2 linked regions of the Macaca mulatta genome follow. The main gene of each other region encodes a partner of the protein of the gene in region 2 in a complex. Links are inferred from orthologs where the notes say so. Each region holds a gene or a part of one and is shown on either strand. Other genes may lie near its edges.

Region 1 (4,046 bases), on a different chromosome or scaffold from region 2:
CTTTTTCCCCTGAACACCTATTGCAGGAAGGTCCCAGATGCTCTAGAGCTCGTGGAAAGCTCTCCTGCGCACCCTGTCCCCTCGGAGCCAAATGACTGTTGGGGTTCAAACACCAGGGCTCCATCGCTCACTGCTGGTGTCATCTTGGGCAAGTTCCTTAATCTCTCTCTTCTTCCAGTCTGTAAAATGGGCCGCCCCAAGCACTGTGAGTTAATCCATTCCACACGCAATGCAGAGAATACCATTTGGCAGATATAGCTGAAAGCGTCGGCTGTTATATATTACTATTATCATTTCTCTCCTGGGGTCCTCTTATGATTTAAGCCACACTTGTGCCACAGGGTCCCTGGCCTGGGCAGGGTAAGTGCTCGGCACACCTTCTGCCTGGCTCTGGCTTCTCCCAAATTCCTTTTCCAGCCACTTGGGAGGGGTGAACAGGAGATGGAGAAAGGAGTAGAGGTTAATTGAAGGTAATAAATCAGGGCAGCTGCTGTGGTGGCGAGGGACTGAAGGGGAGGTGATCAGGACAGGAATTCATTAGACTTGAAAGGAATCAAAGGCAGTGTGTCCAACCCCCTCATTATCAATGAGAATACTGAGGCCCCGCCAGAGAAAAGAACTTGCCCAAAAGACTGGGCTGCATCTCCAGACTCCACTTCCCTGGGGTCCCAGCACCTTTTGGCTCCCACAAGAGTGGAGGCTCTGTGTTCGAGCACCCATGGGAGGCTGGGCTGGGGGATGGAGCCGAGGGCTGTTTTTCACTCTAGTTACTTTCCTACCATAGGGGGACTGAGCTCTGACCCAAAATCTACAGGTTCAGCTGCCACAAACATTTACCTGGCTCTCTGCTGGGCACATTTCTTGTTCTGTGTTATCTGAATGGGCACCTCGTGGTGATACTCCCTGGGCAGGCAGAGATGGGGCTCCCAGGCCTGGCCTGATCCCCTGCACACACCTTGACCATGTCTCCTATGGTGGACTTAGATGGGTGGGAGCTTTTTAAATAGATGGTCGTGTGAGTACCAGTCCACCCCGCAAAGGTTTCATGGGGATAGTTCCAATGTGACACGAAAGAATGAAAAATAGTCTTAAGACCAAACCAGAGAGGGGACAGTGAAGGCTGCTCCCCACCCCCACTCTGGAGAGCAAGCACAGCAGGAGAGATGTGGCCACTGCCATTGTCTGGGGCTGCTTTCTGGTTTGTGGTCTGGTTTGCATCCTCACCTCTGCAGAGCTGGGGTGTGTGTGTGGTCGGGGGGACATTTGCCCAGGGAAGGGGGCATTTTGGGGCTTTCCAAGAATAGTGCCCCAAGTCAGGCACTTCCTCTGCAGACTGTGACTTTGTTTTGAGCACGTGGCTTCCTTGGGGGCTGTGGCCTCTCATGGGAGTCCAGCAGGGTGGACATTTTGTGTTTGGGTTCCTTACAGCCCTTCAGGAGGTCACGGGAGCCCAGCTGACCTTGCCTAGAAGGGGAGCTGTGGGAGGAGGCACCCTTGTCCTCCATTTGGAAGACACAGGGTCCTGGCTGGCCTCCCATACAGTTGCCCTTTTTAGCACCCCATAGCCCCAACAGGTTATGAGGCAGGGAGGGCTGGGGTCCAGGAGCCTGGGCAGTGGACTTCTCTGCCACCTGGATAATGGCCAGAGGGCAGGGAAGCCCTCAGTCTGAAGTGTCATTCCAGCCCCCACCCACGGCCTCGTGATTCCTGCCAACCATACAGCCAGATGCACACTGTCACCTGGGCTTCTCTGTGCAGGCCTGACCAGGAACCCAGGGTCCCTCTTCCTTCTCCCTCCCCTGGAATGAGGCAAGGCTGGGAATGGGGTGGCCACTGAGGACGGATGTGCCTACTCCTGCGCAGAGGATGCTGTCTTCCCCTCCAGGGCCTGAACTCAGCTGCACCCATGTCAGGGGCTAAAACTGCGGAAAACTCTCATTCCTTCAAGTGCCAGCTCCCTGGGCAGGCCATGGGCAATGCACACTGCAGGGGTGCCTCTCTGGCCTTCCTCTCCCACTACTTTGTGGAGATCTATCCCCAACACCCCCCCCCACACACCAGGGCTATCTTGCAGTTGATCAAACCAGATTCAAACCTCAGCTCTTCTCCTCACTACCAAGTTACTGAGTGCGTGGAGCCTGTTTCTTCCCCTTCAAGCTGGGGGTTCACCTCCTGGGGCTTCCATGACATGGGTCTGTGTCATGGAGACAGCCACCGCCAGCATAGAGTGTCTGGCACCCTGCAGGTGCTGTTCTGTGGATGGGAGGCTCCCTTACCTTGTTCCCTCCCCAATGGTACCAGCAGCTGGACGTGGCTCCTATGTTCCCAGCAGGAGATTCTTTGAAACCTTTTCTTTTCTGAGCCCCGGAGCCTGTTCTGATAACCTGATGCCATACCCTCACCACCCCAGCCTCCTCCCTGCCCTGGGCTCTCACCAGTGTCTGTTGCCTCATGCCCCTGCACCTGAATTAGAAGGCTGCACCAGTGAGCCATCCTTCCCCCATCTCCAGGCAAGACTGTTCCTTGACCAGTGCTGGCAGAGGCCAACAATCTTCACTGGGTCTACCCAGTCTTCCCAAAGCCTCCCAAAGAGAAGTTTCTAAAACCTCCCCAGGACCTTTTACTGAGAATTCTCTCCACCACCCCATACCTTTGGTCTCAAAGGGGTGGTGGGGAGGCCGCCCTCCGTTCTCCGCCCGGTTCATGGTCTTGTTGTTCTCCAGCTCCGGTGGAGGCTCGGGGTACTCTCCGAGCTCAGGGATGATTTCCGTGGCATCATTCTTGAAGGCCTGCCACCCCTGGCCCTCCACTACACGGAAGGCTGCGTGTACCAGCAGGCAGACAAGACACAGGGCTAGTGGGAGCTGCATGGTGCCAGCCAGAGGAGGGCACGCAGCCTTCCAGTAGCACAGGCTCTGGTCTCCAGCGGACACGGTCGCCTTTTTAAAGCCCCCCTCTGCCTCATGCCAGCCAATGAGGACAGGCTGGGGCAGGGCTGGTCCCATGTTTCCCTCAGCCCCCCCGGGGGGGAGGGAAAGGGGTGTGCTCAGAGCAAACCCTCGCCAAAGACTTCTCCTCTAGCTCAGCAAACTTCCAAATTGCTGCTGGCACTCCCAGGTGACCCAGAGAGAGGGGGCGTGTGAGGCAGGGCCCAAGCCTGCTCTCCGGCACCTCCCACGTGCTGGCGGCTGTGGTTTTCAGATATCAAAATGAGCTCCGGCTTTTAATTGTCTGTCTCCCTGGGCCCTCAGGCATTCTCAAAACAAACTGTGGACCCGCTCAACAAAGAGAATGTGCAGTTCCGAGTGCTTCGTGGGGCTGAGCCCAGCCTACTCCATTTCTCAGGCCAAGTTCATTTGTCACCCCACCAACAAATGGCCCAAGGGGTGTCTGACCTCCATAGACCCAGCTAGAGGCAAAATGATGCTTTTAAAGAAATCCCATCCGTCCTAACTTCACAAGTCTCAGCATTGATTGACCTAAGAAAGCCTCTCTTGGCATTCTCCGGAAGGCAAGAGAGAGAACTAGAGGGCCAGAGCAAGGGTGCCCACTTGGGAGATGGGGCAGGATTCTGGTTACAAACCGAGGATGCGCTGGTCACTCAGGCTCCTGTGATGGAGAGCACAGAGGAAATCCCAGCTCATGCTCCTCGGGGATCCTGTGCACCGTGACAGGCACTTCCGAGCCAGGGCACTCACTGTGGCTCGCAGGGTGATATACTGAAGACAGTCATTTCCCCAACCAGGCTGTGCGTGCAAGCAGACAACACCAAATTCCTTTCCTTAGCAAAAGCCACAGCCAGCGTTTTTAGTGCTGACATTTTATTTTCTTGTCTTCCAGCTGGTTACATTTTTCAAAAACATTTTTGAGTCCTGTATGGAGAGCTTCATTGGTGCACACCACAGGATGTGTTCCATGAAGCCATCCCAGGACCGACTGGTCACAAAGAAGCTAGAAGAAATTGCCTTATTGGCCCTGCATATAATAAGCGGCACAGGGCCGGGGCGGCAGGGAGGGGAGGGCCGGTAGAGGCATGGGGGAGAAAG
Region 2 (3,617 bases):
TGTAGAGTTCCTGTTAAATAACACATAAGAGCTATGTGCTTTGCATTCTTTTCAGCTAAAAAAGTTCGTAAGAATTCTAAGTGAGGGATAGAGCTGGAATCAGAACCAAGGCCTATTTCAAGGCTTCTAATAAACTCTATACAAAGAGAAATGTAAGGAAAAAGGCTTCATAAAGAAATGTAGGGGGCAGTCACAAAGCCATTACCGATATAACAGCTTAAGTAAGCCTAACAATTTTCATCATAATATCATCATCAAACAATTGCTTACTCAAAATATCGTCAGAAGGAAAAAATAAGTTACTAGGTTCAGATTTTCAGTTTCATAAACACATACAAACACACTTAAGCAGAGTCAAGACTTAAGTGAAACAGAATGGTTGGTGAGTCCAATTATTAGTCAGGAGAAATGAATTTTGAACCACGCTCTCAATTACCTGGCTGCCATCTTCTTGTGCCTTTCGGATCATGTTTTGTCGTGAGTCAATCCAATAGAGTTGCTTGTCCAGAGGGTCATAGTCAATGGCCCGGACATTCCGAAGGCTGTGGATGGGAAGGATGATGTCGGGGCTCTGTTGTTCATCAATCACCATGCGGTTGATGGCACTCTTCTGACTGAAGAGCAGGAAAGTGGTAGGAGCTTAAAAGGAAGAAAAGAGAAAATCTGAAATCTAGTTACCCTATATCCTCTATCATCAATGATTTGATCAGCCTGTTGTATGTATTTCATACAAAACAGACACAGATATTGAAGAGCTAAGGCTGGGGACAAAATTCTGTGGCATGCCCTCAGAAACTCTCTTCAGAGTAACACTAATCAGCTCCCTGGTTACCAAATCAGTTACGAACTTACCTAATGAATGACACAGCCACCTACCCTATATTTCTCCATCCTGTCCACAGAGATACCACAGAACACTTCATTTCCATGAGGTATTTGATAAAAATACACAAAATTCTCCTGGTCTACCAAGTGAATAACCCTTAACCTATTCTGTCTGGTAGATGGCAGGAAGCCTGGGCTTATATAAATTAAAGCAGAAACTTCTAGACTGATTTTACACATGACAGGGCAAGACCCATCTCAAGGGAAAAAAAAAAAAGAAGGTTGATTTTGGTCTCAGCCTTCTCATTTGATCTGAAGTAAGTCACTGAGCCTCACTAGGCCAAAGTTTACTCAGCAGTAAAATAAAAGTCATAGCCATCTTGTCCCTCTCACTGAGTTACTATGAGAATTTTACAACGTATATGAAAATACTTTAAAAACTGTAAGGCACTATATAAATGTAAATTTTAATATGTTTTTAATAATTTAAAAATTATTTATAAATATTAATAGAGATGGGGTCTCGCCATGTTGCCCAGGCTGGTCTCGAACTCCTGGGCTCAAGCAATCCTCCCACCTCGGCCTCCCTCCCAAACTGCTGGGATTACAGGCAGAGCCACTGTGCCCAGCCATAAATTTAAAATAATTATTTATTACCAGTAGTAGCAGTAATAAACTTGGTATTAACAGGCATTGAACCTTCATGGATTGCAGATATCATTTTGTTTTTTGTGTATGTGATGACGGCATGGAAAGAGAGCAGGTAAAAATTACAAAAACTAATAATAATAGATGCTTTATGATATGGTTTGGCTGTGTCCCCACCCAAATCTCGAATTGTACTCCCACAATTCCCATGTGTTGTGAGAGGGACCCAGGGGGAGGTAACTGAATCATGGGGGCCAGTCTTTCCTGTGCTAGTCTCATAATAGTGAATAAGTCTCACGAGATCTAAAGGGGTTTCCACTTTTGCTTCTTTCTCATTTGTCTCTTGCCGCTGCCAGGAAATAAGTGCCTTTTGCCTCCCACCACAATTCTGAGGCCTCCCCAGCCATGTGGAACTGTTAGGTCCAATTAAACCTCTTTTTGTTCCCAGTTTCCAGTATGTCTTTATCAACAGTATGAAAATGAACTAATGCAGTGGCGCGATCTTGGCTCACTGCAGCCTCCACCTCCTGGGTTCAAGCGATTCTCCTGCCTCAGCCTTCTGAGTAGCTGGGATTACAGGCGCCCACCACCATGCCCAGCTAATTTTTGTATTTTTAGTAGAGACAAAGTTTCACCATGTTGGCCAGGCTGGTCTCGAACTCCTGACCTCAAGATCTACCCACCTTGGCCTCCCAAAGTGCTGGGATTACAGGTGTGAGCCACCATGCTCGGCCAAGAATGACTTCTGAGAGATTACAACAACTTCAAAGTCTAATGCCATTTTTAAAATCTTCATTAAAATATCTGTATACATTTCACAGACAATACCTAAATCCAGGAGAATTTTGTCCTTCTCAGGAATATAAAACATAAATAGTCAAGCCACAACTTCTTGCTTTATTTCCTCCTATTCCCCATTCTTCACAGCTCCATTATTAGTGGTCTCTCAGCTTATTTTACATTTACACTCAATGAATACTGGCTTAAAACCCAAAGGAAATCAGTACTCACAAAGAAACTTGGTATTTACAAAACTGTAATTCTGCTTTAAGTTCATTAGTTTAAAACCCACATTCAGCTTGGAAGATTTAGAAAGTTATCCCAATGATCCTACTACAAATCTCCATTATCTGGAGTCCATCATACTAATACATTGATTTAACAACTTTTAGCAATTTTTTGTGGAGTCCATGCTTCAAGTAGTAAAAACACATCACACAGAATAGCTAAAAAGTCTCCCACTATAATTTTTATTTTAGAAGAATATTTTGGCAGTACTACTTTCTTAGTAAAGCAAAAAAAAAAAATGTTAAAGGTTCTAAATTGGCTGGGCACAGTGGCTCATGCCTGTAATACTAGCCCTTTGGGAGGCTGAGGCAGTAGGATCACTTGCGGCTGGGAGTTCAAGACCAGCCTGAACAACACAGCAAGACCCCCTTCTGTTTAAAAGACTTAGAAGAAAGATCCCAGAGTTTTAGTTCCCACATTTTCTTGCCTGGGAAGCAATTAATCAAATACATATTTGGCTCCTAGGATATTTTGCTGGGTATTCTCTTTTCCAAGTAAAATTTTAACCTTCAATAAGATTCCACATTAGTTGTGGATCTTGTTGTTCTAGTAATGTGGATTAAGATAAAGCCACATGTGGCTCCAAATAAATGCCTGTTCCAAAAAATCTACTCAAATATATTAAAAATTACAAATTTACTGGTTATTTCTAAAAGGCAGCCAATATTCTGACCTATTTTCAAGTCAGTAAGTGCTTAAAATGACAACGAATATGCCATTTTAAAAGCCTAAATCCACCCTATCAAATTTATGTAAACTTTAACCACCTCTCCCACATTTCCTTCAGAATGGTGCTTTAACAACGACCTCATCTGGTTGTCTGAGTCTTGCATTCCCACAATGAAGACATCAGAGAAGCTGGAGGATGAGATGTGTACATAGGAGGGAGCTTTTCAGTTCTCTTCTGAAGGCATATGTGTTCACCGGTAGCTTAGACAAAGGTGTTGCTCCTGTTTAAGAATAGAATAAACTAGAAGGCCAAGCCTATCATGTATGACTGTACCATTTGTGCACTGTGCCAGGGGCACTGAGTAGGAACTGAAATCCAGTCCACACTTCCTTAGCCACACCATGCA

The links. Proteins that work in one complex are often made in the same cells at the same time.
Region 1: the proteins of LRP6 (region 2) and SOST are in contact, whole or in part, in a crystal structure (PDB 6L6R), measured with the Homo sapiens proteins. The link is inferred for Macaca mulatta from reciprocal best matches to the Homo sapiens genes LRP6 and SOST. Residues at the interface, in NP_001401174.1 of Homo sapiens: Arg28, Asp52, Val70, Ser71, Glu73, Leu95, Ser96, Asp98, Glu115, Arg141, Trp157, Trp183, Asn185, Ala201, His226, Phe228, Trp242, Met269, Arg336, His361, Asp379, His404, Asp406, Thr422, Glu447, Arg449, Trp465, Trp491, Asn493, His534; in NP_079513.1 of Homo sapiens: Leu115, Pro116, Asn117, Ala118, Ile119, Gly120, Arg121, Arg169, Thr171, Arg172, His174, Asn175, Gln176, Ser177.

The regions. Positions count from the first base shown.
Region 1 is NC_133421.1:68,105,351-68,109,396, forward strand, and holds the start of SOST (sclerostin precursor), read right to left. Parts: upstream 2,889-4,046; 5' UTR 2,871-2,888; coding exon 2,651-2,870; intron 1-2,650. UniProt on the Homo sapiens protein: Negative regulator of bone growth that acts through inhibition of Wnt signaling and bone formation.
Region 2 is NC_133416.1:14,578,310-14,581,926, forward strand, and holds part of LRP6 (low-density lipoprotein receptor-related protein 6), read right to left. Parts: intron 640-3,617; coding exon 437-639; intron 1-436. UniProt on the Homo sapiens protein: Component of the Wnt-Fzd-LRP5-LRP6 complex that triggers beta-catenin signaling through inducing aggregation of receptor-ligand complexes into ribosome-sized signalosomes.